Xenopus tropicalis: one gene and its partners. The protein of the gene in region 1 interacts with the protein of each later gene in a biochemical or structural test. Links are inferred from orthologs where the notes say so. Each region holds a gene or a part of one and is shown on either strand. Other genes may lie near its edges.

Region 1 (3,653 bases):
GTGACAATTCTTAGTAAACCACCCTTTTAAGAAAATCTAAATGAAAATGTTTTAGAAGATGGAATTCAAAGCCACACACCCCTGCTTTTGATGACTACAACTTTTGGCATTACCTGCCATTAATTTTCCCTCTAAATTCTATGTGGATATGCTTGCAGCTGTTTCATTGTGTACTTTTTACCTGTGACATTTTTGTCCAATAACTATATAATAATCTTTTACTGGGAATATCACTGGGGTATATACAATATTTGCCCCAGAGAATAAAATGTCAGTATTTTTCAGATGCTTTTTAAAATGAGGTTGTGTTATGTACAACTGGCCTACATTCTGTGGTATTCACATGGTTCTCTATATCTTTTATCATGAATAAACTATTTATGTTTTAAGGGAAGGCATTTATACCATGCATGTTCCAAACTACATTTTATAAGTGTTATCATTGTCAGTCAGGCTAATTTATCACTTTAGGAACTCCACCACTGACTTGACATGCTCCTTATATTTAAAGTCAACAATTTTCTGCAAAACTAATAAAGGTATAGTTTAGTTTGTGATTTAAAAATATTATAATGCAATTTGATTTACAAAGGTTGAACAAAAAGGGCAGCTGTTTTTGTAAACTTCTAAGGATCATCAATGTCTGTTAAGCTGATATATAACTTCCTCCTAAATCTGTTCTATTTTTGCTATCCTAAAGCAGCGTGGGCCCTGTTTGCTGTATTGATGTTCTTGGCACATTGTTCAGTGTATTAGTAATTTAGTCAGTCTGTAACTTTCCTTCTTTAGCGAATAACAAGGTTACAATCACTGAGGGGTGCCAAAATGTCAGGCGATACCCCAGGTTGGTGCTCCTGCTAGCAGAAAACTGTACCGGCCTGGGGTACCTCTGAGCCAGTGATCCCCTTCCTTCTGTCTCTGCACCACTTGCGCATGTGCAATAGATTGAAAAGCTGAACTTTAACAAAAAAAGCTGCCTGTTTCACTCTTCTGTGCATGCGCGGGCCCCAGGATTGCAAAGGAAGAACAGGATGAAGAGGATTGCGTGTGTGCAGTACCCCAAGCCAGTGCAGTTTTCTCCTAACAGGAGCACCGGCCCAGGGTAGTTAGGTAAGTCATTACAATTACTGGGGACTTCCTAACACTTGGCAGCCCCCCAGTGATTGTGCCTTTTCCTTCTAAAGTGAGGTGGCCTGAACTAAAATGCAACAGCCACCAATCTAAATCTATGTGGGAGGTTAAGGGACCAATTTATTAAAATCTGAGATTGTGCTTTATCACAGTTTTAAAGCTCAAACATACTCACATTTGTGTTTATTCAGACTCAAGCAATTAACAGTTGGTTAATGAAAAAAAATGCAAATTTGAATAAAAAGTGGAAGCGTATTTGAAGATTCCAAGCAACTTTATTTTAGTTTACATTTATCAAATCATTTAATCTTTACACCGTCGTTGAAAATGAATAGTACAATATGGGTTTTGTTTTCAGTTGTGATTATGCCATTTGAGATTTCTCTTAAATAACCTAGCTTTAAGATTGAACATGTAATTTTTTTTTCTAACATTTGAAAATTGACAAATCTGCCTTCCTGTGTTGAGACACAAAAGAAAGGGGGTCTGTGCCCTCTAGTGGGTACAGTTTAATTTGTATAACTATTTTAGGGTTCATGCAACATTATTCCTATATATTTTACTAGGTCTTTCAGATATTCCTGGGGAAGCTATGGTAAAGCTGTATTGTCCTAAGTGTATGGATGTTTACACACCCAAATCCTCACGCCATCATCACACCGATGGAGCATATTTTGGCACTGGATTTCCTCACATGCTCTTTATGGTTCACCCTGAGTATAGGCCCAAGAGGCCAGCCAATCAGTTTGTTCCAAGGTAAGATGCAGATTGTGTTTGTTATTGTAATACAAACAGTTCAAACTGAACTGAGATTTATTTAGCCGGATGGATTTGTTAAAGAGAGACATTAGAAAGCTGTGTTCTAGAAAGAAGAATCATTCATGGGAACTGTCCATGATGTAAACCTTTTATTTGTTTTAATTTTATATAATAAATGTTTGTTATTTCTGAATAAACATGGAAAGAAATCACCAGTGCTCGGTCTAATCCACGTTGTGGCATTGGCCAGCTGCTAGAAGCATCCTTGTACCCATGCTTAGTCTAACCCACATTCTGGAGTTGACCAACTTCTAAAATGATAGACATTATTTATATACAAAAAAGAGAGAGTGCCAGCACTAAGTTTGCCCTTAAAAATAATTCTTACAAAAAATGGTGTCATTAGGTTAGGTTATGGTTTAGTTGAGGAAGGGAGCAACCCATGATATGTGACCGCACATATAGAAGTATATTGAAAATGGAATTTTAACCATTTAGTGTTAAAACCAACCATTTAATTCAGCAAATCTCCAGTATAGGTGGAAGTCTGAATGAATCAGATTCACTTAAATTCTCCAAGATGTTATATAGATCCTGGCCATTCATGACTAGCCTCCCCTGTCCTATAAATCCTACATATCAGTAATGGAACCTGTAAGTAGGGATGCACCAAATCCAGGATTTGGTTCGGGATTCTGCCTTTTTCAGCAGGGTTTTTATTCGTCTAAATCCACAGTCCTGGCTGAACCAATAATATGCTAATTAGGATTAGGAAGGGTTAAATGTCCATGTGAACACGGAAGTGAAAAATTCTTCGCTCAGAGACTTTTACCTTTTGGATTTAGTCCAATATTTGGCCAAATCCATCGGGATGGATTTGAGGGTTCAGCCGAAACCAAAAAACCTGGGTTCAGTGCATCCCTACTTGTAACCTAGAGCATTACTCTCATCACAGTACTCCATCAGTGTCATGATGGAGGGTAAATCTGTGAGGGTAAAAAATGTTACGATTATGTAATTTTTCTCTTTCGCATGAATATACATGACTCACTTTGTTGACAGGGAGAATATTTTTGAACAGTTCATTTATGCTTCATTCTTATAAAAGAATTAAGCTCTTGGTAGGATATTGTTCATACTTTACTGGTGCGCCTCTTCTGTCTTTTTAAATTCTCATTGTGTCTCTCCTTCTTTCTCTAGGTTATATGGCTTCAAAATCCACCCTATGGCATACCAGCTTCAGCTACAAGCAGCCAGCAACTTTAAAAGTCCTGTGAAGACTATGCGTTGAGTATTGCCCATTAAATGGTTTATACATGGGGTCTGCACACCCCATAAACCTCATTTCCTTCCTTCCATTGACAATGAAAAATGTTTGTTTCGGTGTATTATTTGCTCACAATTTTGATTTTAGTCCCGTTTAAAGTGTATTACTGCAATTTACGGTTGTGGTTAAATAAAATTATAAAGAATTGTTGCTTTTTTTTTTTTTTTTCCCCAGGAAAATACTTCTGCAAAAAATAATGTAGGTACAGGTATGGGATACATTACAATCCTATGGGGTTAAATGATCATTAGTAGAGTATAGAGATCCAACTTATCCTAGGTTGACCAGATCACTTTCAGGGACATGCCTAATACATACATGTTGCAGGGCAGCAGTGATTGCGTTTGAAATAAACTGCAATCCACACGGAACAATTTTGTTCATAAAAAATTAACAATACAGGACAACTTGATTAAAAAAAAAATCTGTAGACATT
Region 2 (4,083 bases), on another chromosome or scaffold:
AAATATGGGTGTCCCTATAGCATCAAGCCTCTTACTCTTACCTTATTCCCCTGCCATGGATGCACTAAGTGCACAGACAGGATGAGATTTCCTTATGCACAGTGGCTGCAGGTTTCTGAGCACAAAGGCCAGTTTGCCCCATAGTGCCCCAGAACTGCCCCTCTCTGTCCTGCCTGCCCTACACTAGCCCTGTAAGCAGCCTCAGCCTAATACAATCACTAGGTACATCTCATAAAGCTGATAATGAAGATAATTGTGTTATTTATTAGACACATACTAGTGTAGGAATGTTCCAGGCTACTATGCCGCTGTATCTGTTGCTGACTGACTGTCTCCTACCCCAGTCCCACAAGGTGGAGCTGCCAATCAGCAAAAGCTGCCCTGTTAACGCTGAAAATTCTGTGGAGCGCAATGAATTTGGGAATTTTTGCCAAGGGCTTGTCACCCATAGCAACCAGATGTTTGCTTGTAACAACGACATGCCACCTGCAGACTGGATGCTATGAGTAACTTGCTCAGTATCAGAATTATCGCCTTTTATTCCATTAGCCCCAAAGTCCCCGGAACGGTCACATTTACTGCCCCACACCAGCTGCTCTTACCTCCCGGTACCCTTCGGCTTCAGCTGCCACGGATACAACTCGCTGCTGTTTACAGACGTCACTTCCTAGGACACAATCTAGATTCCATAGTGACAAAGCGGAAGCTGAGTATGTGGGCGCCATGTTGCATACTGGCAAAACATTATTCCAGAAACTTGATTGTGTAGTTGAGCTTCGAATCGTCCTCACGGAAAGTGACTAAATCTCTGTTGGAAGCGATATGATGCAAATTGAGAACATATTTAATACTGGAGGTGTATTACCACAGGTGCCTGACTGCGTTCACATAAGATATAGTTGTTCTGGCGTACACACATTTTTAGAGAGTAAAAAGTCTGCAGTTATAAAAAAAGGTCATGTTAAAGCCCACGACTTTCTAACCGGTAAATCCAGAACTAAATATGTCCGCTAGTATTAATTCCTTCTTTTTAGCGAGGTTTAAGCGATGACCAGGGAACTAATGCCGAGGGACAGCGCCATGGGTTTCCGGGAGTTTAGTTTGTTATTGCCTAAAATGCGTAAAGCTGCGGCGTAGGTCAGTATAGCTTGCTACTACATTTCCCAGCATGCCCTGGCGCTGGGCGGTGCCTAACTTGACCCAAGATGATTGTGCGGGCGGTTTCTGTGGCAACAAGTTGCGGAAGTGACCTCAGCTAGTGGAAAAGATGGAGGAAGATGTGGGGAAGTGAGTGAAGCGGAGCGCCCTGTATGTAGTGTTGTTAGTAGTAACCCGTGTAGCTGCAGGTGTGTGTGGGACAGAGGATGCGGCACGGAGGTACGGCTTGTAGGAACTGCCCCACTGGGGGCGCTGTCACACAGGGGCTTATTATCAGCCACACGCCCATAGCATGATACAGAGGGATGGCTCACATGCAGGGCCATGTACCGACCGACACATTAGCGTGTAGCAGTATGGGGAGGCCTGGCCAGGAAGGGAATTACAGTAACAGTATGGGGAGGCCAGGAAGGGAATTACAGTAGCAGTATGGGGAGGCCTGGCCAGGAAGGGAATTACAGTAACAGTATGGGGAGGCCTGGCCAGGAAGGGAATTACAGTAACAGTATGGGGAGGCCTGGCCAGGAAGGGAATTACAGTAACAGTATGGGGAGGCCTGGCCAGGAAGGGAATTACAGGTAACAGTATGGGGAGGCCTGGTCCAGGAAGGGAATTACAGTAGCAGTATGGGGAGGCCCTGGCCAGGAAGGGAATTACAGTAGCAGTATGGGGAGGCCTGGCCAGGAAGGGAATTACAGTAACAGTATGGGGAGGCCTGGCCAGGAAGGGAATTACAGTAACAGTAATGGGGAGGCCTGGCCAGGAAGGGAATTACAGTAACAGTATGGGGAGGCCTGGCCAGGAAGGGAATTACAGTAACAGTATGGGGAGGCCTGGCCAGGAAGGGAATTACAGTAACAGTATGGGGAGGCCTGGCCAGGAAGGGAATTACAGTAACAGTATGGGGAGGCCTGGCCAGGAAGGGAATTACAGTAAGACAGTAATGGGGAGGCCTGGCCAGGAAGGGAATTACAGTAGCAGTATGGGGAGGCCTGGCCAGGAAGGGAATTACAGTAGCAGTATGGGGAGCCTGGCCAGGAAGGGAATTACAGTAACAGTATGGGGAGGCCTGGCCAGGAAGGGAATTACAGTAACAGTATGGGGAGGCCTGGCCAGGAAGGGAATTACAGTAACAGTATGGGGAGGCCTGGCCAGGAAGGGAATTACAGTAACAGTATGGGGAGGCCTGGCCAGGAAGGGAATTACAGTAGCAGTATGGGGAGGCCTGGCAGGAAGGGAATTACAGTAACAGTATGGGGAGGCCTGGCCAGGAAGGGAATTACAGTAACAGTATGGGGAGGCCTGGCCAGGAAGGGAATTACAGTAACAGTATGGGGAGCCTGGCCAGGAAGGGAATTACAGTAACAGTATGGGGAGGCCTGGCCAGGAAGGGAATTACAGTAACAGTATGGGGAGGCCTGGCCAGGAAGGGAATTACAGTAACAGTATGGGGAGGCCTGGCCAGGAAGGGAATTACAGTAGCAGTATGGGGAGGCCTGGCCAGGAAGGGAATTACAGTAACAGTATGGGGAGGCCTGGCCAGGAAGGGAATTACAGTAACAGTATGGGGAGGCCTGGCCAGGAAGGGAATTACAGTAACAGTATGGGGAGGCCTGGCCAGGAAGGGAATTACAGTAACAGTATGGGGAGGCCTGGCCAGGAAGGGAATTACAGTAACAGTATGGGAGGCCAGGAAGGGAATTACAGTAACAGTATGGGGAGGCCTGGCCAGGAAGGGAATTACAGTAGCAGTATGGGGAGGCCTGGCCAGGACAGGGGAGGCCAGGAAGGGAATTACAGTAACAGTATGGGGAGGCCTGGCCAGGAAGGGAATTACAGTAGCAGTATGGGGAGGCCTGGCCAGGAAGGGAATTACAGTAGGGGGAGGCCTGGCCAGGAAGGGAATTACAGTAACAGTATGGGGAGGCCTGGCCAGGAAGGGAATTACAGTAGCAGTAGGGGAGGCAGGAAGGGAATGTGGGGAGGCCAGGAAGGGAATTACAGTAACAGTATGGGGAGGCCTGGCCAGGAAGGGAATTACAGTAACAGTATGGGGAGGCCTGGCCAGGAAGGGAATTACAGTAGCAGTATGGGGAGGCCTGGCCAGGAAGGGAATTACAGTAGCAGTATGGGGAGGCCTGGCCAGGAAGGGAATTACAGTAACAGTATGGGGAGGCCAGGAAGGGAATTACAGTAACAGTATGGGGAGGCCTGGCCAGGAAGGGAATTACAGTAGCAGTATGGGGAGGCCTGGCCAGGAAGGGAATTACAGTAACAGTATGGGAGGCCTGGCCAGGAAGGGAATTACAGTAACAAGTATGGGGAGGCCTGGCCAGGAAGGGAATTACAGTAGCAGTATGGGGAGGCCTGGTCAGGAAGGGAATTACAGTAGCAGTATGGGGAGGCCTGGCAGGAAGGGAATTACAGTAACAGTATGGGGAGGCCTGGCCAGGAAGGGAATTACAAGTAACAGTATGGGGAGGCCTGGCCAGGAAGGGGAATTACAGTAGCAGTATGGGGAGGCCTGGCCAGGAAGGGAATTACAGTAGCAGTATGGGGAGGCCTGGCCAGGAAGGGAATTACAGTAGCAGTATGGGGAGGCCTGGCCAGGAAGGGAATTACAGTAACAGTATGGGGAGGCCTGGCCAGGAAGGGAATTACAGTAACAGTATGGGGAGGCCTGGTCAGGAAGGGAATTACAGTAGCAGTATGGGGAGGCCTGGCCAGGAAGGGAATTACAGTAACAGTATGGGGAGGCCTGGCCAGGAAGGGAATTACTGTAACAGTATGGGGAGGCCTGGCCAGGAAGGGAATTACAGTAACAGTATGGGGAGGCCTGGCCAGGAAGGGAATTACAGTAACAGTATGGGGAGGCCTGGCCAGGAAGGGAATTACAGTAGCTGGCAATGCAAGTAAGGGGCATTG
Region 3 (3,653 bases), on another chromosome or scaffold:
TGTAGAATGTTTGGCAACGTTTGGTCAAAAGAATGACCAGGTTCTTTACAAAAGTGGATGCTGAAAGCTCGTACAGCAATTTGATGGACACTTGTGAAAAAATGGGATATGTTTTAAAGAAGTCTTGTGCTAACCAGGTGAGTACCCCCTCAATAAAGCTTCTAATCATATGATTTTAGGCTTACATTTTCCAAAACCCCAGTAAACAAGAAAAAGCATATAAAACAAACAAAAATACTATTTATTGTAAACACAAAAAAACTATAAAAGTAAAAAGTGTACATTAGTTTCTTCTATCCTTGTTTTTAGAAAACAATCTTATTTCCTATGGGTCAAAAATGTACATACACCTTGCAGACTGTTTTTGTCTTGACGATTGAAGGATCAAAGGTGATCTTAATCAATCTCTAAGCTATTACTGTAAAATTTAATTTTTCAATAAAAGTTGATATGTAAAAGCAATAATGATAGGCCAATTCTAGTAGTCTGAAAAGATTTAAAGGTCTTTGAAACTTGCTCTTCAAAAAAGCAGTAAACGAAACGTAAAGGTGTGCTTTTTAATGTTTGAAATTTTTACATTTCTGTTGCCATTTTAACAATGCCTTTTGGCTCTGAGGTATATTTTGGGGTAATAGTTCTTGTACAAGTAATATAGACCCTTAAGATCTTTGGCTTTTCAACACAAGCAGCAATTGTTGAAACTGAAACCTCAGGGTGTTTACATTTTTGGCTGGAGTGAGGCCAGGGAAAATAGTCAGAATAACAATTTAGGTACAGGTATGGGACCTGTTTTCCAGAATGCTCGGGATATGGGGTTTTCCAGATAAGGAATCTTTCTGTAATTTGGATTTCTATAACTTAAATCTGCTAAAAATCATTTATTGAATAAACCCAATAGGATTGTTTTGCCTTCAATAAGGATTAATTATATCTTAGTTGATATCAAGTACATGGTACAGTTTTATTATTACAGAGAAAAAGGAAATCATTTTTAAAAATTAGAATTATTTGCTTATAATGGAGTCTATGGGAGATGAACTTTCTGGATAAATGGTTTCTGGATAAGCGATCCCATAGCTGTAGTATAATTGGTGGAGCTTACTAATTTTCTTTAAATCATAAATGGCAAATTAGGAACATGGCACATTTTTTTATCAGACAGCAGTCACTGGATACTGTCCAGAAATACTATCCAAAAATCAGTACATATAAAGGGGCAGTTTACCTCCTTTTCAGCATCTATGAATAGGGCTTGTGCTGAACATAGTTTCTGCCTATTGTTGTATTCAACACAAAGGTCTATGGGTTTTTTTTTTCTTTTTGTTATTCCTATGAACACCACGGGTTTACTGAACAGTTACCAGATACCAGATGTGTATAGGTTTACCCAAGTATGTGGCATTTAGAGGCCCATAAATGGTGATGAGATGAGAGGCTTGATAAAGGGCTGGATTGAAGCCTGAAATGTTGCTTTTGGCACTGTAAAGTTTCAAATTTTTTCAAAACAACCGGAGTGCTGCTGTTTTCATCATTTTTGTACTTATTTGCCCGGGCAGTGGGTACAGCGTGCACCTGGGGCTACAAAAAGCTATTTTCACTGTGTAAGCGCATGTTAACTGATTCTATTTGCCATATTATCTGTCATGTTACTGCAAAATCAACACATTGACAGCATTTTAAGTGGGGTAAACCTAGAAAAAAGTTCTTTCCTAAACGTCTTGATTTTGATGAACTTTCTAAAAATCACCTCAAAACTTCCAGCATATTATCTCCTACAGGTCATTAGGTACCCTAGAGGTCTACAGAACAGTTTGATGCTCACTGTACATAGGTTTATCAAAGCACATGGCCCTCAGGAACCCCAAAATATACCTTATGCGCACTAATTTCATGACTTCCATTCACCTAATCCATAAACACACTGGCAGTTTTATGTGTGGTACAAACTGCAAAAAAGTAGGGTGACCTCTGAAAGCCATATATTTTAGAAACAGCGCAAATTTTGTAAGGTTAGCGGTTCTGAAAGCATTTTTAAAAATCGCCTAAAAATCTTGCAATTAGCCTCATTTATCTTGCAGTTTTTTTTTACATACAAAGGCAAATCACCCCAAATATGAACACCAGAAGTCTACTGAACAGTTTTATGCCCAATATTCATAGATATACCAAAGTATGTGAAATGTACAAACCCCAAATTAAATATAAAGCATATGACGTTTTCTCGTCTGCCAAATGAAGTTTTCTCGTCTGCCAAAATTAATTTCTGCAAAACGAGCCCCATGACTGCATATTGTATATATGAAAGACCCCCTAACTGTACAGAAGCTTACGGAAAACAATATGTTTTTGGAAAGTACACATTTTGACAGTTTCAACATTGGTGTAAAAAGGCGTCTTTACCAAAGTACCAATCTGTCTAAAAATGTTGCAATATGACGCATTTATCTTACACAGTTTCTTACATACAAAAGCAGTTTACCCCAAATATGAATGCCAGAGGTCTCCAGCTTTGTTATCACATTTGCATACGGAGTATACAAATGAGACAAAATTGCAAATTAAAGGCCCACCCAAAAAGAAACATTACATTTCACATACATACTGTGCAAGTGCAAACACATATTTTGCATATACCTGTACATACACAGAGCAATGAATAAATAATTATGTGCTAGAGAATTAAATCAATTTTCTTTAGTTTACGCTACCTGTTTAACAAACCAACAATTCCTAATTTGATTAGGAAAATAGGAATTGTTGGTTTGGTATATCTATGCATATGGTGCTTCAAAGTATGCATTATGTAGAGACCCCAAAATGAAAAAAATGTATATGAATTTTCTCGCCTGCCAACTCAGCTTTTGCAAACCTGGCTCCCTGACAGCGTATTATGTGCCATAACAGCCCCTAACTGTACAGAGGGTAACTGACAGCAGATGAGAGCATGTGCTGTAAACTGGAAGAAAAGAATATTGGTTGCTTATGCGATAATTTTTTTGTTTAAAGGACTGTTATAATATGTAGTCTAATTGTTTGTTAATACAATTACATTATGAAGTAAGTTAATACAAGCATTATTAGTATACTTGTTTTTCAAGAAAAAAACTGCATCTGTATAATTAGGTACTTTGTTTTTGTCTACTACAGGTCACCCTATCAACTACTGACAGAAGAAATAATAAATTAATATTCAAGGTGAACCTTGTGGAAATGGAAGACAGGATTCTGTTAGATTTTAGACTTTCTAAGGTATATTGAATGCTTTGGGTTTTCTGTTACTGCTACGCTGCCAGCTATCTAAAAGTGTGTTTATAGTCGACCCCTTGTCTGCCTGTGGCTCGCAAGTAACTGACTACCATCACAGTAGATTTCTCTGTTCTGCGACATGCAATTAAAATCTTACACATGCAGTTTTGACTGTGTATTAACTTTCAGTGCAGCCATTGCTGCTAGAATGCACTATGTATTGCAGTCATTGGTTTTTATATTTATGTTCATGTATTAATAACATTGGCCACCTTTAGCAGTAAAGGGGGGTGCCTAACATCTTAACACCCCCAATGATCCTTACTGTTCTTATCCTTTTATAAAAATCTACTAAAAGTTTGATTATCTTATCTATTACTTACAGGTAAATAGGTTCTTATTTAGTA

What was found.
Region 2: the proteins of csnk2b (region 1) and tnfaip1 form a complex in vitro, tested with the Homo sapiens proteins (2 studies listed by BioGRID, with this or other methods). The link is inferred for Xenopus tropicalis from reciprocal best matches to the Homo sapiens genes CSNK2B and TNFAIP1.
Region 3: of the proteins of csnk2b (region 1) and chek1, one has a biochemical effect on the other in vitro, tested with the Homo sapiens proteins (2 studies listed by BioGRID, with this or other methods). The link is inferred for Xenopus tropicalis from reciprocal best matches to the Homo sapiens genes CSNK2B and CHEK1.

Annotation. Positions count from the first base shown.
Region 1 is NC_030684.2:74,732,417-74,736,069, forward strand, and holds the end of csnk2b (casein kinase II subunit beta), read left to right. Parts: intron 1-1,697; coding exon 1,698-1,887; intron 1,888-3,090; coding exon 3,091-3,181; 3' UTR 3,182-3,362; downstream 3,363-3,653. UniProt on the Homo sapiens protein: Regulatory subunit of casein kinase II/CK2.
Region 2 is NC_030678.2:47,414,805-47,418,887, forward strand, and holds the start of tnfaip1 (BTB/POZ domain-containing adapter for CUL3-mediated RhoA degradation protein 2), read left to right. Parts: upstream 1-1,250; 5' UTR 1,251-1,287; exon of another isoform or gene 1,288-1,377; intron 1,378-4,083. UniProt on the Homo sapiens protein: Substrate-specific adapter of a BCR (BTB-CUL3-RBX1) E3 ubiquitin-protein ligase complex involved in regulation of cytoskeleton structure.
Region 3 is NC_030683.2:74,045,612-74,049,264, reverse strand, and holds part of chek1 (serine/threonine-protein kinase Chk1), read left to right. Parts: intron 1-5; coding exon 6-137; intron 138-3,147; coding exon 3,148-3,249; intron 3,250-3,653. UniProt on the Homo sapiens protein: Serine/threonine-protein kinase which is required for checkpoint-mediated cell cycle arrest and activation of DNA repair in response to the presence of DNA damage or unreplicated DNA.